Saccharomyces cerevisiae S288C: one gene and its partners. The gene in region 3 interacts genetically with the main gene of each other region. Each region holds a gene or a part of one and is shown on either strand. Other genes may lie near its edges.

Region 1 (3,600 bases), on a different chromosome or scaffold from region 3:
TAAAAGCTAATTTTGGCAAATATTGAGAGATAAGAGGGAACTAGTTTCTTTCACCGAACAATAATATACGAAAGTAGTATGCTAAACTTTATGCGTTATATCCTATATCCCACTCCTTTGTTAATTTCAACCAATTCCACATGAGGTGAAAAAACAAAGATGTTGACGCACCGTTTGACGTGATTTATTTATATCATTTTGAGACAGAAGAGAGAGAGGATTTAGATTCGAAGACAAGCGAAGTATTTCAGTATAATGTATACGTATTTGAGTATTTGAGTATTTTTTTTTTTTTTTTTTTAATTTTTTATATATACAAAATAACAAATTGATATTTTCTCCAAGATACGCATTTACTGGCGAATTTTATTTTCATTCTAACCTCACAATAGCATTTCCAAAGGATTTTCAATAACAGTTTTCAATTCCTTCATGAATTCTGCACCTTTGGCGCCATCAATGGTTCTATGATCAAAGGTCCCTGTTATGGTAACCTGGTTATCAAAGGAGAATCCGTTCTCAGCAGCGGCGTCTTCCACAGCGACCCTTTCAACAGTAGCGATGGCCAAGATTGTAGACTGTGGTGGGTTGATAATCGAAGTAAACATGTTAACAGCATTATTCATGCCCATATTGGATATGCAAATGGTCCCACCTTGGAATTCCTCTGGTGCCAATTTGTTTATTCTGGCACGCTTGACTAGTTCCTTGATTTCGTTAGAGATTTGCGACAAGCCCTTGGCCTCACAATTCTTGACAATTGGTGTCAATAATCCTGTTGGTGTGGCAACAGCGACTGAGACATCGACATTCTTGAATTTACGGATAACGTTCTCATTAGGTAACCAGTAGGCATTGGCATCTGGCACCCTCTTAGCCGCAACAGTGATGGCTTTTACTAATAGGTCATTAATGGACAGTTTGTACTTGTCGTTTGCTGTAGCGTTCAAGGACTGTCTCAATTTCAAAAGTTTGGAGATGGATATCTTGGAGGAAACGATGTATGATGGAATGCCTTGAGTAGATTGCAATAAACGTTCTCCAATGATGCTTCTCATGGTTGAAATTGGAACATCCTCATATGATGCTGTAGAAGAAGGCGATGGAGCAGAGCCAGCAGTAGTGCTTGAGGTAGCGGCGGCAGGAGTGGCGGCGGCAGCACCACTGGTTTGAGAAGACTGCTTAGACGACTTTTCTAGATATGACTCAATGTCAGCCTTGGTAATTCTACCGCGGGGTCCAGTGCCGTGAACATCCTTCAAAGAAATACCCTTTTCCAAGGCGATAGTCTTGGCAAGTGGAGAGGCAAAAATCCTACCTTGAGGAGCAGCAACGTCAGATTTCTTAGCTTCAGGTGCAGAAGTCTTGGTCTCTTCAGCTGGCGCTTCTTGTTTCTTTTCTGCCTGTGGTTCGGCAGGCTGAGCCTTCGTACTGGTCTTTGAATCAGAACCTGAATCCTCCAGCTTAAAGTCCTTAAAAGCTGGCACATCAGCTTTGTCCTCCACATAGACGGCAATAGGCTTGTTGACAGGAATGTCCTTTGTACCTTCAGGAACTAGAATCTTGGCTAAGTAACCATCTTCTTGGAACTCAAAGTCCATTTGAGCCTTGTCTGTTTCTATTTCGGCAATAACTTCACCGGGAGACAATTGGTCACCTTCCTTCTTAGTCCAAGCAGCAAGATTACCTTGCGTCATCGTAGGAGACAGTGCCGGCATACCAATAATGGTGTGCTCTGGGTACGATGCGTAGCATCTCAATTGCAGTCTCAATGATCTGGTGAGTACTGAACTTCTGGATATTCTTGGAACCACCCTGACAAAGGCAGACATAGTACGCTAATAACTATTAATTTTACTGGATGCAGTTTACAGCAATGGAAGATGTTGAGCGTGAACAAACAGGAAACGTAACAGCCTCTCTTCTAGTCGTTCCGGTTGGTTGTCTCGACCTCTTGTTGTTCTTTGCGTAACACGGGGGGTGAGAAGGGCCGGTCACGCTTCACGGATAGTAGAAACGGCAAAGCATAGTAGCAGATGACTTGTATGAGTTATTGAAGTTATGACATATGTAGTATTACATGAAGATATATAGTATGTGCAAACTGGAGGTGATCACCGGTACCAATTATCTAGGGTTCTCAGCCTCTTCCTTCTAACAGGCTTAGCGACCATCTGGAGCTGCAATTGCTTGGTTTTTTGTGCGGCGTTCTTCCTGCTGTCCATATATTGTTCTTCCCACTTGATAGGGATACTATTCTTACTGGCGTCATCTAACAGAGTCTGGCATGTCTGCCATGAGAATCTTACCATGTTGGCGGGCCAGCCCATAAGACTTGTCTGGTTGCGCTTCAGCCATGCGACTGTCTTCGGGTCGGAGGGGTATCCAGAACCCAGGATCTCATCGGGATCCCTCTTCAAGGATTCGACTAGTATATCTCTGGTCACTTTTGCAACGACACTCGCCACACTGACCATGCAGTAGAGCGAGTCTGCCTTCTTGGCGACCGTAAACTTGACACCAGGAAATCGTTGCTCCAGTTTCTTCTGATAGGACGCTGGTGGTCCAACAGTATCCACATACACGTGACTGAGCTTCACGTTCTGCTTTATCACGCCATCAATGAGTGCCATTGTGACATCGTGCGCCTGCTCATTCAAGTTATAGTTTCTCGTCGGTGGGAACTTGCTCATTCCTCTAGAGATATCCAACGGAGTGATGCACGTAGTTGCGTAGCCGATCTGGGTTAGTTCTTCGTTGTCCTGGTATATCTTGGAAAACAGCATTCTTCTGATGGGATCTGTAAGTTTTTTAGAGTCGTCAAACTCGTAGTTAGGGATTATAGTTTCGTCCTGATATTTCTGTGTAGAATAGGCTACTGCGTAGACCATTGGCCCTAATACGGGCCCTCTGCCAGCTTCATCGATACCCATTATTATTGGAGAGTCATTCTGTTCCAAGAGCGCGCTTGGGACAGGTGAAAAGTACGACTTAGTGTAAGGAGACTCCAAGGATGCTTCTACCGTGGGGGGTACCATTTAATCGTATCAATTTGGTGTGCAGTAGTTGTTTTCAAGGTTTTTCGACACTCTCATTAGCTATAACTGAATATTTATATTGGATTTTTCGCGTAGCGTAGTTTATTGGTGTAGAGAAAAAAAAAAAATTAAATGCCATTCTAATTATTTACAGTATATGTCTGATTTATTTACAAAAGCATTGGCAGGCGTCGCAAAATTTACTGCCTGTTTACATCATCCACACAGCCAAAGGGCAGAACCTCTTCTATCCTCTTCTTGTCGCAAAATAGCATGCACAATCTATCTATGCCAAGGCCAAAGCCACCTACTGGAGGCATACCGTATTTCATCGTCTCAACATACTGGTAGTCAATAACAGGCGATAAGGTCTCAGTTTTGTTTCCTGTCAATTCGTTAATCTGCTTTTGTTGTAGAAACTTCTGCAGTTGTAATTGGGGGCAATTTTCCTCTTCGTAAGCATTGATGTATTCCTTACCTTTGATGAAGACTTCGAATCTCTTCGTGACTTGCTTATTTTGCGGATCCGTCTTGGCTAAGGGCGATAATATTGCAGGTTGAT
Region 2 (8,640 bases), on a different chromosome or scaffold from region 3:
CTGAGAAGATCCGATATCAGAGAACCCGGTTCTTCGGGATGCTCTTGTTTGTATTCTGTGAATAAACGTTTCTTGAGAGATAGTCTCTCTTTATCATCAACAAAAGTTATTTTTGCTCTATATGCTGCGTAAACTGGCCGATGGTCGCTAATCATTATCGGAGCATCTGAATAAGATAAAGGAAGTAAGTTTTCCCCTTTATAAATAATTCTATCTGTCCATGACGGCGTCCTTTCCTTTTCAGAAGAATCATAAGTTCCTGTCCCGGGATCATACTTGTATGTTGGACGGAACTTGAGAGTTGGTTCTTTGAAGCCTTCAAATACACTGCCAGAATTAATACCTAGGGTAAGTTGATCAAAATGCAACAGTTTATCGATATATCCTTCTTCTTGGTTGAGCAACTCTCTTCTGACGTCTTCGTTCGGTAGATTTATTCTATAATTCATGTCACCTAACCAGAAAATCGAATCGTGATGAGGAATCATCTTAGTTCTAGTGAAAGTAATACCTCTAACTATGCTCTCGTAATCACTTCGACGTTCTTCGACATTCGTAGCTCCTGCTGCGAGATGAGAATTGACAAAACAAAATGAAGTGGCACCGTACTCAAATCTTATAGACACTGCACCTTTATTCCCAGCCATACCCCTAAAGCCAGTTTTTTTAGTAGCACCCTCCACTTGTTTGACGTATTTAGCTTTGTCTGCTTTAACAAAAAATAAAATTAGTAAAGAAGTCATTTGCTCTACTCTTAACAACAGATATTTATCATCATACTGGTTTAAGCAATCACCCACTAAGTTTTCCCAGAAAGAGCTTTTCGAGTAATCAGCGTTCAAAATCGAACCCGCAGATAGTTCTATAACTTCTTGAAGACCTAAAACAACAATATCGGGTTTAAATTTTTCACCGATTGGAAATAACCACTTTGATAAATCAACTTTTTTGGTTGCGCCATTAACATTGAATGATCCTATTAACAAGTTAATGTTGGAGGTTGATGTGAACTTATCAGACATGCTTTGTAATTTCGTACTTACGTATTCGTTTACGGGATCATAAAGTTGCACTGCTTTCTGATACGGTAACCTTCCCAACAAAGTATCGATATTTTGTTGCTTTTCTTTATCCATGAAATTGTTAATATATATTCTGCTGACCGATTTTGTGGCGTCTGATAATGCCCCAGCAAGTGACATTTTACCTTTTCTTGAAAATGAGGACTTCAAAGCATTAGTACCAGTATATATTTGGGAAATTTGATCACCGTGATCAGCCCACAGGGTGTTATGTTTAGAAACGAAATCATCATCGTCGATGAACGAATTTGAACTAATCAATCGGAAATCTTCGAGAAAAGTTCTAAAAGCAGCCAAAGAAATAATTTGCTGAGCTAAATTTGTTCTATCCAAACAATCTAAACAGTTGGTCCTAAATATGCCATGTTGTTCAGATATGTTCTTTTTTTCTCTAACATCGTAAGAATAATAGCCAGAAGATAAAAGAGAGTCCAATATTAATGGAATGAGTTTTCTGACACCGGAAAAGCCTTCTTGCGAAGTTTCTTTATGAAAATCGAATTCTGTCAAAAATATATCTTTGTTGAAGTTCAATTTTTTTGAATGAGTTAAATGCTCCTTGTATCGTTTTGAAAGTTCAATTTCAGAAGATTTCGTTGATAACAAATTAACGACATGCACAGGTCCGTACTTTTCCACTGATTTCATGATATGTTTGTCAAATACCGGTTGGGTGGCTTCAAATGATCTTGTAATTTGTACTCTTGGATTGATTAAAGAGGTACCTTGCTCCCAGAATACAGGTATACTGCCTCTAATCTGTGTAAAAGCATAACAGTATTGGCTAGAATACATAATGAATTCCGTTTCTACGAAATTGGCAACGTTTGCCTCATCATCCACACCACGTGCATTAAATCTTGTTCCTGCTCTTTTCCAGCTCTGTTTCGAGATGATAGTAAGAGCAACTTTCAACTTCTTAACGTACGAGACGAAAGTTTCCGCAAATCCACGGATAACTGTTGTTAAAAACCCCTCGTCATCCAAGATTTGTTTCAAATTTGTGTCCAAATGATCTCTGTATGTGATCATTTCTTGCATGAGAAAAGAGTTCCACATATATTCTTCTTCGTAGGTATCTGTACTCAAAGAATGCTGACCATATCCACGATGCTGTAAGGTTGAGGTCAAATCAAAATCTGAACTATAATAAAAAGATCCATTGGATAATAGTTTCTTCAATTCATAGCATGGATGTTTTGGCAAGGCGTCTTGATATTCAGTTGAAGCAGTCTCCGGCAACACAGGATAACCTGAGGAGTCGATTTCAATAAAATCCCAACTGTTGTCATTTAAACAAAAAAAATCGACAGCAAAAATTTTGTTCACAGTCTCTCCTGGGCATGGCTGTGCAACTTTTGATTTCCCAGTGATGGCACCAACAAACAGCAGGCCATTAACCTCAATGAGTCCGATAACACCAAAAATTTCGTGTGATGTAAGTCTTTTGAAGCCATATTTTTTCAAATCATTTTTTTGAAGAAGTTCAATGGCACAAAGGGGTTTATCAGATGGCTTTTTCCCAACCGGTTTAAGAACAAGAGCATACAAGTTGGATACAATGGCTAGCCTCCTTTCAGGTTCTTCTGAAACAAAGATAATCATTCTATGAAGGAGTGGATAACTAGATATTCTTCGCCCCAGTTATTTTCTTTCTTCCTCTTAAGGTACTGCTAGCTTTCTTAATATGATATTGGATATTGACTGTTCTCCCTTCACAAAGTCTCAAATTACACTACTCCTAGCTCACTCAACAGTTGCAGTAGTGCTCGAAAAATCCCTATTCGGATTCAGTTAAGATTATGCGGTGGGTGGGCCTGGGTAAAATGTTTCACGAAAGGAAATGGTACCATGGGAAAAAAAGCAAAAAAAAATAATAAAACTATAAACGAAAGAAACTTTCCACACAGACATCGAAGAAGTGTTTGGAAACTTCGCTGAAAGATGTCTTTTTAACGTGAAATAAGTTACTTTTCTGTGCCATTTATAAATAAAAATACATATATATATAACATGAGTAATCATAAGCTACTCCTTTCTATTACTCTGCCAGTAGAACATCCCCGGAATGAATAATATTATTGACAGTAGCAAATACCGCCTTAATAGATGCATCCCCAGTGTCTTCGGAGACACCAACACCCCACATATTACTAGTAGCATGATTATTGATGTCCTTTATGTAGGAAAGATTTATGAAAGATGCCGCTTGGGTTGCAGAACCAGAACCCAAGGAATGTTCAGAGTAGTTTTGAACGCTCAACTTAACATTCAGTAAATTGGATAGCGCATCCACCAAAGAAGAGATAGGACCATTTCCGTAGCCTTCGATGTTGACAACCTTATCGTTGATTTCTACCTGGCCCACTAAAGCTCTACGCTCTGGGTTCAATTTCTTAACTTCGTAATTCAACAAGGTGACGTATATATGTTCATTGTTGTTGTAGTTGTAAGTTTCTTTGAACAATTTTGTAATCTCTTCGGATTTTAACTCTCTTCCTAAGGCATCTGCATTTTTCTGTAGAGTATTGGAGAAATCAACTTGCATTGGTCTTGGTACATCTAATCCTAGAGATCTCATAATAACCCAAGCAGCACCACCCTTACCGGATTGAGAGTTGACTCTGATGACGGCTTCGTAATCACGTCCAATATCCTTTGGATCCAATGGTAAGTATGGAATTCTCCACCGAGTTTCTCCTTGAGCCTGTTTCTTGTTTTGGATTGCAAATCCCTTCTTAATTGCATCCTGATGAGAACCAGAAAAGGCAGAAACAACCAATTCACCGCCATATGGGGCTCTTGGGGGAATTGGAATCTTGTTACAGCGATGGACAATTTCAGAAATTGAAGTTAAATCTGAGAAATCTAAATTAGGAGAAACACCTTGGGTATACATATTCATGGCAACTGTAACCAAATCAACATTACCTGTACGTTCACCATTACCAAATAGACAACCTTCTACACGATCAGCGCCTGCAAGCATACCTAATTCTGTGGCGGCGACACCGCAACCACGGTCATTGTGACAATGCGTAGAAATACAGACCTTCTCACGCTCAGTAATGTGGGTAGAGAAGTACTCAATTTGATCAGCGTAAACATTTGGAGAGGCAACTTCTACAGTAGCTGGTAAGTTGAAAATGATCGGATTTTCCTCGGTAGGTTCCCAAGCCTTTTTAACAGCTTCACAAATTTCTACAGCAAATTCACCTGGCGTATCACTGAAACATTCGGGAGAAAACTCATAGGACCAACGAGTAGCTTGCTGGGAAGGGTCATCCTTGGTTAGTTTCCTAACCAGTTTGGTGGCTTCTACAGCTTTAGAAATAGCTTCCTCTCTAGACATATTGAAGACAATTTCTCGGAACATGTCACTTGTGGCCAAGTAAGTATGTATGGTAGCCCTTTTAGCACCAGTCAATGCTTCCACGGTTCTTTTAATCAAGTGTTCTCTAGATTGGACAAGACATTGAATACCAACATCATCTGGAGCGTTTTCTACAGCATACCTGGTGAAGTCGAAATCTGTTTGAGATGCAGAGGGGAAAGACACTTCGATTTCTTTGAAACCGATGTTGATCAACTTGTGGAAATATTCTTTCTTTTGAGCCACAGACATTGGGTCCGGTAAAGATTGATTACCGTCCCTCAAGTCAGTAGACAGCCAACGTGGAGCCTTTTGAATAGTTTTGTCAGGCCAAATCCTCTTGACCATTTTTGGTGGAGCAAACGCCCTATATTTTACCGATGGGTCCCGTAGCATATTTTTATAAGTCAGTTTGACGGGTGGGATAGACCTTCTTAGTTTACTAGCATGCTCAGCTAGCGCTATGAACGAATGTTTTACCATGGCTACGCGGCTAAATGATAATGTGCCGATAGTATTATCCTAAGGAGAAGACCCTTATAAGCCGAAAACAAGGATTGTGATTTCGTGGAGTAAAGTAAGGCATTATTGAAATTTAACAGCTAACTTCCAATCAAGCCAGTAAGAGGCAAAACTATGTTGTAGTTGTGATTCTGGACATCGTTTTTAATTTTTTTTTTTTTTTTTTTTTTTTTTTTCATTTTTTGGCAAGGCCGAAAGAGATGGAAAAATATGAGTCATTCACTACGACCGTTACCGGACCATGATGGCGCGCGGCACCAAAATAGACGAATGAAGTATATAACAAGCGCCATGCAGAAGGAAGAGCTAACATTAATTACTATACAGATAAATGTTTAGTGTTTGAATATGACAACATATAAAAGAAGACTGTGCCCAATGCTCTTATTTTAAATGCCTGTGAAATAATTATATGCAGTGTCATGTACGTAAAATTAAATAAAAACTAAAGTTACAAACAATATGAGCGTGATGAAATGAAGTAAATTGTGTGAAATGAATTAATATGAAACGAGGGAACTAGCCAGAAAAGCGGATTTTCTATCGTTGTTCTACTTAATCAAAGTTCTAATCTTGATTAACTGATATCATGCAAATTTAGCTTTTTAAAGCCGTTTTCAACGCTTTTTTCATTTTTACCGATCGCTTTATTGGGTAATGGCGATGAGGATGAAGATATTTGTGTCTCCACAGATGATGAAGAGGCTATCTTTGTTGATGACTGTTTTGTCCTTTCAAACGGTTTTGAACATTGCTGTTATAATGGCTACAAATGACGCCTGAAGGCTGTTTGAAAGATTTCCGTTTTTTAACAAAGTTAAGTTTTTGCAATAAACCTTTCCCCGAGTTGAGAATTCCTGTATTTTGCGGTTTTTGCAGATTTCTAGTGCTGGTATTCTTGTAGGTCGAGCTGGTAGTGTTGAGTGAGGAAGAGGACTCGCTTGGCCGAGAAGTGCGATCGCTGCATTGCGACTCATTGGTCGTGTTTGCAGACGTTTCTTGAATGATAGTTGACAAACCATTGATATCAGGCTTCTTAAGATACGAATTTCTATCTTCAGAAATATCCTCCACGCCTAATGACGAAAAAGAAGTTGTAGACTCGTTTTTGAGATCTTGTTCCGTAGCAGAGTCATTGTGGGCATATGTGGCGGAGTACTTTTTCTCATTAACAGAACTCACAAATCGGTGATACCCGTCCATTAATAGGCCCATCACATGGCTAATGGCACACAGGACGTCTACGTCGGCAGGTACTTCATTGTTAGCAAAGCACTTCTCAAATATCTCCCTAGTATCCTGTGAAAAGTTGCATTCTTTGGGGGAGTCCACGGCAATGTATTTTATGTACAACGACTTGTTCCAAACTTCCAAGAGCTTCTCCTCGCTAATACTCCTGTTTTGCTTAAGCTGGAGGAACTGATGAGCTTTTTCGAAAAATTCTAAATTTTCCTCACAATGAGCTCTTTTTAGAAATTTGTAAAACTTTTGTATTGTGTAAGGAGAACGCATCCGTTCGTGATGCCCTTTTCGCAGTTGAATCAGCACTGTATTGCTACTTTCAGCATCGCCGTCGCTGCGACTATTCTTTTCTAGCGGTATCAGTATGTCGCATAGACTTGGTACACTCGCCATCTGGCATGTGCTGAATTTTCTTCGTTTTATGTATCAAAGGTGCCTTACCTAAGATGTTTTGATATTTATATAGCCAATGTAATATTTTTTTTTTCTTCTCTTTCCTTGCCTCGTCGCTTGAGTTGTTTGCTTTTAGTGATCACCGTTGACTTTGTAAAAATCCGTTTAGTCAATTTTGGCAACTGGTTCAAGCAATGTGCAACGGAAATGGTATAGATGTGATGTGGTATAATATGTTATTAATTTGATTACTAGCGCCTTAACTATCTTTATTCAGCAAGTTTTTTTTTCATCTCCACAAAGGGACGTTTACAAAGGGTATCCCGAAAGAGATACTACATGACGACGTCATATATACGTATATCTCAAGAAAAGAATTGTTAATGATTATGTTTTTTTTTTCTTCTTTCAATTTCCTTTTTCTGATTGTGCTAAAATGAGCGCCGAGCCGCTTCGATCGGGGTACCTGCGCACTTTTCTAGCGGTTCGGTTCGGCAGTTCTTCCCGAAGCATTTAACGCAACCTTGTTCCTCATTCTCCAGCAGGTCTGTGCTTGGTGCGCGACTTTAGCTGCAACGGCGTGGGTGTGCCGCAGCGGACATTTCTTAGTTAGATGTCATCTCGGCTGGACCGGGACGCCACAGTAAGATTTCAAACTGCTGAAAATTTTCGCCAGCAGAATAGCCGCTACTATCAGGCCGTAGCGACAGGATCGTGCCCGCAATAACGTACACATCGAGGTAATTATGCATGATTTCTTTTTTTGCCGAGAAATTCTGCCATTTTTATTAATCCACGCTCTGTCCTTATCTTAGTGACAGGCAAGGATGTTCTGCAAAAGCGAAAATTGAAATAAGATAAATACTTCCGAGCCAGACACGTTCTTATGTTTATCAGGGCCCACAAGGTTCATTTAGAAGACAACGCATACAATGTTTTGTTTCTTGATAACGGTTGGCGGCCGTTAAGCAACAGTAAGGCAAATGACAGTTAACGGAAAATAACAGGGTTCTTACTTTTTACATACAGTAGCACAATCCTTTTTTTATTGGCAGTCGCTAGTAGAAATTCGTGGGGATTTACGGACTACTGAAAAAAGGTCAGTGTAGATCGTACAAAGTAGAAAAAGGAAAAAGGGCATATCGAGCCCTTGCATTTAAACTACGGAGTACAAAAAACACAGGTTGCGCACATGGGAAGTGCACTATCACTAGACATCAAAGGAAATTTTGAGTCAAAAAGAGCGGCTAAGAAACCCCCCTACCACAAAAGAATAAATGCAAAAAATAACTTATACACTCTTATACACTCTTGTTTTCGTAAATAGATAAGATTGGGTCTACCAGAAAGTCTGTGCTCAATGCGCGTTTAAGGAGATTACTAACTTAATACAGCAAGCAATACCACCATGCACACAACTATTATAATGATTAGGGTGACCTTACCGCATTTGTTACGGTCCCTCTGATGCTGGTCTGCTCTGGTTAATTGTTTGTTTGCATTCTGCATGTTATCATGTAAATGCGAGATATTCTCGTCTATGGTGGTTACTTGTTCTCCCTGTTCTTTCACTAATGAACCGAGCTGATGGAAAATAGCATTGACTTCTTGTACCGCCGTATGAATGCGTCCTATCTGTTGGGATCTTTCCTGGTGAATGATTGTTTGAAAATCTAGTTCTTCTTGGGACAATCCTTGCTGTTGTTGTTCTTGTTCTTCTTGCAGCTGTAATTGGTGTTGTCCTTCGTTATGCAGTAAAGGACTCTGCTCGTTTACTTTTATAGAAATATAACTAGACTCTGGATCTTGTCGCACGGCTTCAGTTCGCGGATGGATGTCTTTTCTTTCCTTAGATGTTCCTGGTGAAATAGGCGTTTTTAGAGGGAACAGACTCTTCCTTTGATTGTATGATTGTTGTAGGGATTGATACTTCGTTTTCAGGTTCTTGAAATCAGCAGACAACTTTCCATTTTGGTGAATGAGGATGTTGCTCTCAATTTTATCCCTTACACTGGTGCAGTTCGGTAT
Region 3 (11,468 bases):
GGGGAATTCACCTTGCCCAGCCGTGGAAGTAATGAAAACTACATTCTCTTCACCAGGTAATTCTTCCAAAATAATGTCATCCATGGACAGAACAGTAGCCTTTAAACCTCTTGCAGATGCCCTTGCTGCTAGTCTCTTTGCCAAGTTTGCAGCATTACCACCGTCAGAAGCATAATAGACGTGTAGCGGTGGGCCGGACAAACCCTCCAATAACTGATCGAAGGCAGCCTTGCTTCTTTTTTCTTGTTTCCTTGTCAACGCATCACCAGCAGATTGCTTTAGATTTCTTGACAAAGATGGATCTTTTCTGGTTAATAGGGTAAGCTTATTCTCACGGTCTAAGAAGTCCTGTAATTGTTTTCTGATAACCGAAGAATCCAAGCTAAATGCCTCCTTATCTGTTGATGGATCGTCATAAACAGGATTAAACCTATACAATGGCCAGTAACCAGATTCAACGGCGTTTTTGGTTTCCTTTAAGACTTCTAATGGAGTATCATTTTCGGAATTATACGGCAAATAAGCCAAGACAATAGAAGGACCATTGTATTTAGATGCCTCTATTATTGCAGTCAATAGTTGGGTGTAAGAAGCATATACTGCTACAGAGGCAACATAGGCACTGTAATAATTCATGGCGTACAAACCAACATCTTTCTTTCTATCCTGGTTTTGCTTTCTATGGTCATATGGCTCTGAATCAATCAATAAAACATTAATGTTTTTACGGGAGGATAAAACCTGTTGAATACCTGAGTGACCCAAATCATAAGACCAGGCATCGGAGCCAATTAGCCAGCTTGATTTGAAAATAAAAGAATCGCTTGTTGGAGCTATCTTTAAGAATTTTAAGACAGTAGAGGAATCTTGATTAGATTGTAATAACTGAAATATTTCCAAACCTGTCGCATTGGCCTCTTGTAATTGAGCTTCGTCAAGATCGCGTCCATTGAATGACAACCATTTAGATAATAGTTGAACAATTTTATTTGCATCCTCGGACAAGTAAAGACTTGGATCAAGAGAGGTTTTTGCTAAGCTGATCAATTCTTCACGCTGGGCTTCTTGTTTTAAAAAGCGTCCAAAACCAAATTCTGGATTACTTGGTTCAATTGTCTCACTGGAAAATTGATTCAAAATTTGTAGATTTGATGAAAATAACTGTTTTAGCACTTTGATATAGGCGTCTTCTAAGTTCACAACTTTTTTGACAGAAGAAATAAGTTGAGTAACTTCAGCTTGTTCCTCAGCCTTTTCATTGGATTCACCTAAAAATAAGTTATTATCTGGTTCCTTCTTGTTAATATTCGATATGACGGTGTTGATAACGTTGCCATAATCATTCACATTACCAATATTAGTCAACACTACCTGCTCGATGTTCCTAGAAACTAATTCATTAAAATTGCCAAAGAAGTCCAAAAGAAATGGTTGAAATTCGTTTGATTGCGATTTCTTAGAGACACCCTGTAAAACGGCGATTTTGGTAACAGAAGATGGCAGTATTTCCAAGAACTTGGAAAAATTCCATGGTCTGTATACTCTAATCTTGATCAATCCTACGTTTGAAGGCAATACGCTACTGAATTCCGCGTCATATGGTGACAGGTTAACAATGACAGTGGTAATTGACTCTTTACCTTTAACCAGTTCAAAATTTGTCAATGAATCAGTAGCTTCTGATAATGCTACTTTAGTCTCTTCGTTAGCAATCTCCAAGGTAGGAAAGTCGATGTCTTGTTCAATAGCTGTACTCGTGCCAATTTTCTCCAAGTTAAGAAAATGGAAAACTGGGGTCAGAGAACTTGTAGCAATCTTATAAGAAGAGTCCGCGTTTGAAATTGCAGTTTGCAAATCAGAAGATATTAAGATGGGGAAAGAAAGATCCTTTAACGCAGGAATTGCGGAATAATCTTGCAAATTCAAATCCACTGTAATCACCAATGGAAGTTTATTAGGAAGAGAATATAGATGGTGGATGGATTTGACCAAAGTAGTTTCATCTGTAAAAACGGTAGTTAAAATGTCCTTAGAGAGTTGATCTTTGATGGTATTCAATGGATCTTGATTGTTCAATAGATGAGTAGCATCTGTGGCAACAGATTCTAGCCCTTTGAAGGATGAATGACTATTTTTTGTGCTAGTAGTGTAGAACACTTTATTTTGGGGAGCACTAGAGGAATATTGCGCCAACAATTGTGGGAGCGTCAAGAGGTCAGAAGCAGTCATTCGCCAATCTTTTGTTTTTCTCTGGTTCCCGTTCCCTACTGTTACTTTATTAGTATATAAGGGATCTGAATAAATATCAAGACGATGGAAAAAAAATAACAAGCAAAGGAACCTTTCTATATCCCAATTTTATTTCACATTAAAAACTATCGTCTTCCAACACTTTATATAACTGCTTGCAGCGGCCAGTAATTCGTCGCATCTCCATGACTCAAATTTTCCAGTGTCTCTTAGCAGTTAAACCATTCCTGCCTCTGTGTGGTGGTAATTGTGGCATTATGAGTTAAGAGATAATACGCACGTGATGAAATTCATTCTGTGAAATATCACGTGGACAAATTATATTACCCGGATTCATAAATCCACGTATTTTACCTGCATCTTTATTGAGTGCTTAGTAAAAGTCAGTTGGTGAAATTCCGCAGATAAAACAGCATATTAGTTGCCTGAAAATAGCCTTATGTGTTGGTTTGATACGTCTTTGTCATTATATACCCAAAGGTTTGTAGTTCATGTTGCGGGTTGGTATGAATAAATTTTTCGTATTTAGTGATTATAATACTTATTACCCATTTCGGCGGCTAATAAGGAATCTGCTAAGATAGGTAAATGTACAATACCATCAATGGCTTCTAAAAGTTTTCAAAGAAGTGGGATAAGGGATGAAAGTTGTGCGTGTGTTGGTTACTTAGGTTCTAATTTGGCTTCAATTTGAAGTGAGATGTTTTGTTTAACATTAGTTTCAAATTAACAGCTTTTGTGAGAAAATATATTTTGGATGAATAGCAGAAAATAGAAATCTGGAAATAAACAAAACAGAGCCAAAATTCTAAGCTTAATAACATGAATATTTGTTTATCTAGCATCTTGTTCCTCCCACTCTTTTTCCGAAAATATGGCTAGCCAACTTAGGTGAATGGGGAAGGGTACTAGATTCATTCATTTATTTCTATTCAAGGACAAGAACTTTTAACATAGTAAGACCTTTATGTTAGTTTGGTGCGGCTGACAAATTCATAGCTAATGTGCTAGAGCTCTTATATTGGTAATTACTAATCCTTCATTGCTATTATGACTATCACATTATAAGGTAATGAAAAATTAAATCATTGTGTACGGATTAAGTCCTTTCTCTAAAAGAGATCACGTGACTATTTGAATCACTATCTATGTTAATCATTATTGTTTAAAAGATAGTAAGTGACAGAACAACGAATTGTTTCTGTAACTACTTTTTAAGCAGGGAAATAACTCAGCACTGACAAGGGACACTTTTTAAGGATGTTCGCTAAATTGCATGGGAAGAAACAAAGACCAATTTCTTCCATCAATTCACAAACTCCAAGGACTAGCAATACTACTCACGCAAATAGCATATCCTTATCATCGGGTAATTTGATAGTAGGTTCCAATAGAAATTTAAGACAAAAGAAAGAGCAGTTTGGTTCTCAACAAAGGGCTTCCGGCAGAAAGCTGATTTCAAATAAGGAAAATGACGATAACGTCAACAATGGTGGTGACAACAATTATGACAATGGGGAACGGGTCCATCGCCATCATATTCCAGGACTGAAAATAAAGGCGTATCAAGCTGAATTAGGCTATCATGAGTCCCGATTTTCCGAGAATTTAGTGATGCTAAATCTAGTTGAGTTCCCGGATATAAAACCTGGTGATTTGGTAGAATTGAAAACATATCACAAAAATCCATCTGCATCGAACGGAGATAAGAAAATTTATTTTATTGCAAAAGATTTTGACGGAGAGACTAAAAGAAGGGCAAAAACATCTAATGTTTCAATACTTTCGGGTCAACTGCAAACTTTGTTAGATTTGCCTTCTAGGTCTAGGATATGGATAAAATTGAAACCAAACAAATTTGACTTACAGGCAGATGTGGTAGAGTTTAATATCAAAGATTGCCTACTAAATAGAGGTGATATGTGGGTTCTATCATCTAAGCTGGTAGATACATGTGTGTTTATGGATCAAAGACTGGCATTCTTAGACTCTATCAGAGGTACTATTAAGGGAATTTATCGAAATGGTAAGAAGATTGTTTCTGGATATATTGGCGAACAAACAAGGATAATTTTTCGGTCCGAATCTGCCAGATTAATTTTTTTGATTCAAATAACTGATGAAATGTGGAACTTCGAAGAAACTGGTGAACAATTATTTCAAAAGATGGTTAATTCATTTTTCCCGAAGATCTTCAAAAAATGGAAAGATGTGGACACCCACCATACTATCACTATAGCCTTCGCTATATCAATGGACTTGTCTGATACATCATTCAAGGACTTAACACCCGGCGAATCTTTGAAAAATTCACAGGATTATTTTAGGATAGTTGTAGATCAAGTCAGTATTATCCATTGGGTTGATATTATGGAAACATTAAGAGAAGAATTTATGGAAATCAGAAAAGATTTATTAAACAAGCAAACGGATAAGGGTTACAGTGTAGCGAATGGAAGATTTTCACCTGTAATCAAGTCGAATTTTCTCGAATTGGTCAATTTTGCCACGACAATTTTAACGGATCCTTTCAAGCAATTAGATCTTCGACACACTACAACGCACGTCATGATTATTTCACCAGGGTCTGGATTATTTGACGTTGATTATAGTTTATTAAGGCTAACAGGAAAAAAACTACTCTCTCTTGAAATGACGATGGATTTAATATGTCTTTCAAAAGCTCCATTGCACATAGTTCCACTTTTTAGGTACCGAGACTTTGAGAACAAGCTTCATCATTGTGTACCGCTTTGGTTAAGTGTTTTCTTTTGGAATGATCATGACAAAAAGAGTAACTCAGAATGGACTCCAAGATGTAAAATTTATGACTTACAAATGATGGGGATTACTGAAAATGAGTTAATTCGGGAAGTGGATGTTGAATATTTACAGCTGAACAAGAAAGTCAAATCACTATCCGAGTTTATGAATGATTACGACAAAAATGCCTTCGAGGTGAAAATTTTATGCGCTGGCTCTAATACGAAACAATCTAAGAAATTAAATTCAAAGTTTGATACCGTCTTCGAGAATGATGTTGTTGTGAAGGCAAGGAAAATCCCGGCAACAGCAACAACAACACACGGTAACACAAAATTCATATGGAGAGGTCCAAAAGTTGCTCTCCCAGCCATTAAGGATATTCAAAAACCAAACGTAATACCAGATCTATCAATAAAAACAATAGAGGCCTCTTTTTATGATGATTGTAATACTACAAATGATAAAATTAGCACTCCCACCACTTCTAACAATGACAATCTCGAAATGAATGACTCATTGGTCTCTGTGAGATCTGCTGATAACCAAAACACATCTTTGGCGCTGGATTCGCTCAAAGGACTAAGCAAAAGGAACTCATTGAAAGATTTTACTCAAAGAGTAATTACAAAATTTATTTCGAACATAGACACAAGTAAAAATAAAAAAATAAAGTCAACATTACTCAGAGATGATGTGGATAACTCACCTTTAGGTTCAAATACACCACTACCATCTTCTGAAAGTAAAATAAGTGGCCTGAAATTACAACAAAAAGGCCTGGCAGATGAAAACGTTATCAGTAAACGTGGAAATTTGATAATAAAGAAAAACCTATCCATTTTTGGGCTACCTAGTAATGAAATCATGAGTGGTTCACCCTCCTCATATTTAGGCTCATCACATACCAGAACATCCTCTAAACTTTCTAATATGTCAGACAAGGCTGCTTTCATTACAGAAGGGCAAAAATCAAAACATGATGACTCGAACACTTATAGCCTCACACAGCAATTGAAACATCGTATAAGTGAAACTTGGGTGGATATTAAAAGTCCTTCCATTCCGGTAAGTAGTGAATTTGCCAACGAATTATTGCCTATACGTTGGAAAGATGTATGGCCAAAATATGTGGCCAGAAAATATAGTAAATGGAGGTCTTTTACAACCCCAGCAGAGTTACCAATCACAATTTCTGATTTTCCATCCAAGGATGATTTTGATAGGAACTTCATCTTCAGAAATCACTCAGTGACTTTAAACACAGATCAAGAACAATATAATCAGACATACAAAGACTTACTTCGTGATATGATTTATATGCGACTGTTAACTGGTTTTCAAATCTGCGTGGGCCGACAAGTAGAAAAAATAGAACTTTCTAGGGAAAGTGGTGAAAGTGAAACTGTAGTCAACAAGTATTTAGATTTCAATCAAAATGATGCGTTCAAACTTTATCTAATGATCGACTCTGAAATACACAGAATAACATGCTCGTCAAGTGGAATTATTGATGTGGAGAGGTATTTGAGAAAAGATGAAGCAAACTTGTTTGATCAGGTTCCTAGTTATATTCCGTTGGTTAAAACGAGATACGAGAGCTCATTTCGTGATGCTATGATTGACCCACTTCATGTTAAAAGAGAATCTTTGAACTGGAATCAAATTGATCAGGTTCTAGCAGGTTATGGCGATAACTTAATAGATAGGAAATGGCACGGATTTCGAGCTAAATATGTGGTGTTACCAACAGATATCCCTCCCAACACATATTCTATGGTTATCAATGGTAAAAGCGAAACTTTAAACCCAGAAGAAATCAGAGTCGAGGGTTTGAGAAGATTAATTGGCTCAATAACGAGGTCAAGACTAAGAACAGAGAAAGAAAAAAAAGGAAGAAAAACTAAGAGAGAAGAAATACAGCCTGAAGTTATGTTTTACACCGGCCCGCTTTACAACTTCATTAATGAGCAACAAACATCTTTAGAAAGCTCGGCTATAAATTTTAAAGATTCAATTTTTGTTAATGATAATAACCTTTTAAACAGAAATGTAGAACTATCCAAGTTGGCGTATCAAATTCAACGTGGCGAAGATCGCATTACTTTAGTCAACAGAAAATGGCACTGGAAAAAGCATGAAAAGTGTTTTGTTGGCTCGGAGATGGTTAATTGGCTCATAAGAAACTTCTCTGATATAGATACTCGAGAAGATGCAATTAAATATGGGCAGAAGGTGATGAAAGAGGGATTATTTGTTCACGTTTTAAATAAGCACAATTTTTTGGACGGGCACTACTTTTACCAGTTCTCACCTGAATACGTAATGGACACTAATAAACTAGAAAAAACAAACTCCCATCGCTCTACATTATCCGATCCAAAGCAGATGTTGAGAAAAGCATCCACTGGTAGCTCAAACGATCCAAGCGCTATGACTCCTTTTTCTTCAGTAGTACCTGCTATAAGCGCTTCGAATGCTTCAGTTGCTGACGCCAAAGAGCCATCACGCCCTATTTTAATGCTGAGTAACTCTCTTGTTATCGATGTTGATCCCGCGGGAAAATCCTCGAAACAAGAATCGTGTACAGTCCATTATGACAGAGTTCATAACCCCGACCACTGTTTTCACATAAGATTGGAATGGTTGACTACCACCCCAAAATTGATCGATGATTTGGTTGGGAACTGGTCAAGGTTATGCGAAAGGTACGGTTTGAAAATGATTGAAATTCCTTGGGAAGAACTTTGTACTATCCCTTCGGTCAATCCATTTCACTCTTTTGTGGAAATTAAGTTAGCTATCAATCCTTGGGAAGATCCTGAGTTCAAGGATAGGGAGCTTTTCGCTAAAAGCAAATTCTACTACCACGTTTATCTTTTAAAGGCATCTGGGTTTTTATTAGACAATAGGGCATCCAAATTTTTACAAAATCAAGATATAGAGTTTGACATCATGTATTCATGGGGCAAACCACAGTTCAAATATGTTCAATATATTCATCATACGGGTGCTTACGTCGCGGAATTGAGGGAAAATGGCTGCCTATTTTTAGCTCCTAACAACATTTATATATCCAGAGTGAATCCGGGAAACATAATCGGGAAAATTCATTCTGCTTCAAGCTCTTCATTAGATGCTCAAAAAGTGATCCTAAATTTCAAATCAACTTGCTTGGACTATCAGAAGTTAAGGTCAATTTTCCTTGACGCAAAGGAAATGTGGATTACAGGAAAGATTGTAGAAGATTGAGTAGCCCCATGACATGGATGAGTTTCTTCACAAAGTAAATAATATTCGAACGTGGATAGTAAAGCATAATGTTATCTATTTATATATAAATATACCTATGTTTTTATATGTCTGTTTACTGATCTAAAGTCTTTGAGCAATCTTGATAACATCACCCAAAACACCAGCGGCAGTAACGGCAGCACCGGCACCGGCACCTTGAATGACAACAGGATTGGTGTAACGCTTAGTCTTGATGGAAATAACGTTATCTGATCCCTTCAATGATGCGAATGGGTGTGAGTAATCGTACTTTTCAATTCCTACAGACACAGATTTGGTGGCAACATCGACTTTACCAATGAATCTCAATACCTTATTTTCAGTGGCAGCTTCCTTCTTCAATTGAGTCAAATCTTTATCGTAATCAGATAATTTTTCCAAGAATTCATCAGCAGACTTGACAGATTCCAATGGTTTTGGAATCAAAGACTGGACAGGGAAGGAAGTTGGAGATTCAACTTCCACACCAGATATCCTACCAACAATGGTAACCTTTCTAGCAACATCCAACCCATTCAAATCATCTCTTGGATCTGGTTCAGTATAACCCAATTTTTTAGCAACTTTGACAACATCAGAGAATTTGACGTCGTTAGCTTGACTAGTGGAGAACTCGTTGAAAATATAAGATAGAGTACCAGAGAAGATACCTTCAATTTTTTCAACTTCGTCACCGGTTTGAATAATTTCTCTTAAGAAACTGATGATAGGCAAACCAGCACCGACGGTAGCTTCATGATAGACAAAACCGTTAGTTGGCTTATTTGAGAAAAGAGCCTTCCAGGTAGCCAAATCAGAGGAAAAGGCCTTCTTGTTTGGAGTAGCAATGGAAATACCATTTTCGACAAACTTAGTGTAAAAACCAGCAATGTAAGCGCTGGAAGTGTTATCAACCAAAATGACTGGCTTAGGTGAAGTCTTCAAATGAGCAATTAAATCATCCAAAGGCAACGTTTTAGTAGTGGAGGCTGCTAAAGCAGCCTTCCAATCAGAACCAACATTTAATGGAGAAAAGTCCTTGGAGATTAAAGAACGCTCAGCTTCAGCCAAAAGAACTAGATTGTAAGTAATGGTAGACTTCATGGCTAACAATTGATCCAAGAAAGCTGAACCAACAACACCGGCACCGATAACGGCAACATTAACAACTTTAGTGCTCATTTTTTTTTTATTATTCGATTGATGATACTATCTACGTTCTTAAAACAGTCCTGAGTACACACACAGAAGATTTAGCTTCAACAAATTGTCTATCGCTAACCGCAATATTTACATATTCTTTATACATTTCTGTTCCATTCAACCCAACTTTACCACCAGGGCACACTTCTTCCAAAATATGGTCATCAACACACCCGTACACCACCATGTGCGTTATTGAAAAACTCACGTGATCTTATCCACTAATAGCCTCACTCTATCGAAGACTTCCTTCTTTGTAACACGTTTCTTAATTGCACTTGGCTTAGAAGTAGGGTCTGGAGTGCTTTTTGATGTCACAGAACCTGATGACGGTAGTGCTGGATTGTTTTCATCGTTCACGTCTGTGAGGGATTGATCCTGTCGAGCTAGAGGAAAATAGAGATACTCGAAATAAATGCCCAAGCAAACGCTGTCAAATGCAATTCCGCTATGTCCCTTTTTCAACTGGAAAGCAAGTTTTAACCCGGATGATATTTCTTCAGGGTACTTTCCTTGGTCGAAAACTTGGTTCAGTTGCTCACTAATCTTCAGGAATTCTTGGTAGTTCAAGGTTGGAAGGATTTGCTCCACGTAGCTCTTGTCTTGCAATTGCAGCTTGATTTTGGCACTTTGCGTGTACACATTAATGGCACGCTCTAATAGTTCGTTTACGTTCACAGTTCCAGAACCAAATCGCCTTAGCTTTTTTATAACAAGACCTGTTGTATTGAAGTCTTTTATTGCGAAGAGTAAATCCAAATACAAAACCAGGTACTGGTAAGTATAGATGAAATGTTTCCCTGGCCTTTCAAAATCTGGTTTCCATATATTGACCAAGTTTTTGTTTATACTTTTTGCGGATATTAAGCTATCCATCTCCTCCAAAGCACCGTTCACATCACCCAAATCGTCAAACAATATGCGCGCTATTCTGTAACGAGGTCTGTGCTGCCATTTTTTTTTATCAACAGATAGTAAATGGCGAAGTAGTCTTATGATTTTGTCAAAAAAGAATTTTTCTTGATAATCCCATGCAAGACCTTCGTCGTTGACCCAAAATTCCTCTTGTTCCTGGAAGAATTGGTTATCTTTAGACAGTAAGGTCAGAGCTTCGTTAACACCTATGACGCCTCTTTTTACCCACTTGTAACAAGCATTAACTAACAGATAATGGGGTTCTATGATCGGATCTTTAGCAGGTGATGACTCATAAGCTATTTGGCAACCCTGAGTAATATATTTGGCAACTAATTTACAATTATTACCACCATCTGTTTTGAAAAAGAACTTGGCCAGATTGTAAAAACTAGACCAATTCAACACGAATACATCGTCCTGTGACTTGATATCGCCGGATAAAGAACAAGCCCTATTAAAACATAAAAATATACTTTGCTCGATGTTAAAGTCTGAGATTGTGGTGATTTTCTTAGTTTTTTCCATTACTACTTCACCGGTTTCAGACAATCTCATTGTATTCTCAGCACTGCTTTTCCAGCTAAAACAAAGCTTATTCATGGGATTATAGTAGCCGCTAATCAGCATAGATCCTAAGTCATCCAATGCCTCCAATATAATCTTTTTATCGTCAATAGTTCGATCCAACTTACTATAATAAATGGAAATGGCCATTAAATAACACAATATTGCCTTTCTTTGAGTCAAAGCAATAACATCTTTTTTCTCAGGGACAGTGATCTTATCTGAGGTCCATATTAAATCATCTTCAACAATATAACTGTAACACTTTCCGAGTAATATCCAACTTTCGAAACGGTTTGTGTTGTATATAATGTCATTCTTTAACATTCTGATAATGGAGTCTAATTCAGAAGGTCTTGCTTGCATAGACTTCTTTCTCATTTTATACAAACCCAGGGACTGTAAGCTGGATACGTAGAACAAGCCGGCTGTCATGCCTTGCTGTAACTCGTCGTTTGGAGAAGTTAAATACAAACTTGTTGCACCAGAAAATGTAT

The links.
Region 1: mutations in HOM6 (region 3) and LAT1 together harm fitness more than expected from each alone (negative genetic interaction), as found in Saccharomyces cerevisiae (3 studies listed by BioGRID).
Region 2: mutations in HOM6 (region 3) and INP53 together harm fitness more than expected from each alone (negative genetic interaction), as found in Saccharomyces cerevisiae (3 studies listed by BioGRID).

The regions. Positions count from the first base shown.
Region 1 is NC_001146.8:489,755-493,354, reverse strand, and holds LAT1 (dihydrolipoyllysine-residue acetyltransferase), read right to left. Parts: upstream 1,833-3,600; coding exon 384-1,832; downstream 1-383. Other genes in the region: ribonuclease H2 catalytic subunit RNH201, read right to left, coding at 2,115-3,038; lysine--tRNA ligase MSK1, read right to left, coding at 3,239-3,600. UniProt on the Saccharomyces cerevisiae protein: The pyruvate dehydrogenase complex catalyzes the overall conversion of pyruvate to acetyl-CoA and CO(2).
Region 2 is NC_001147.6:519,325-527,964, reverse strand, and holds the start of INP53 (phosphatidylinositol-3-/phosphoinositide 5-phosphatase INP53), read right to left. Parts: upstream 2,688-8,640; coding exon 1-2,687. Other genes in the region: 2-isopropylmalate synthase LEU9, read right to left, coding at 3,124-4,938; GTPase-activating protein RGS2, read right to left, coding at 5,683-6,612; SNAP receptor VAM3, read right to left, coding at 7,993-8,640. UniProt on the Saccharomyces cerevisiae protein: Dephosphorylates a number of phosphatidylinositols (PIs) like phosphatidylinositol 4,5-bisphosphate (PtdIns(4,5)P2), but also phosphatidylinositol 3-phosphate (PtdIns(3)P), phosphatidylinositol 4-phosphate (PtdIns(4)P), and phosphatidylinositol 3,5-bisphosphate (PtdIns(3,5)P2).
Region 3 is NC_001142.9:681,057-692,524, forward strand, and holds HOM6 (homoserine dehydrogenase), read right to left. Parts: upstream 9,469-11,468; coding exon 8,389-9,468; downstream 1-8,388. Other genes in the region: MET5 (sulfite reductase (NADPH) subunit beta), read right to left, coding at 1-2,229; GTPase-activating protein IML1, read left to right, coding at 3,511-8,265; HIR3 (Hir3p), read right to left, coding at 9,694-11,468. UniProt on the Saccharomyces cerevisiae protein: Catalyzes the conversion of L-aspartate-beta-semialdehyde (L-Asa) to L-homoserine (L-Hse), the third step in the biosynthesis of amino acids that derive from aspartate (the aspartate family of amino acids), including methioinine and threonine, the latter of which is a precursor to isoleucine; production of homoserine leads to a branch-point in the pathway as it can either be O-phosphorylated for processing to threonine, or O-acylated for processing to methionine.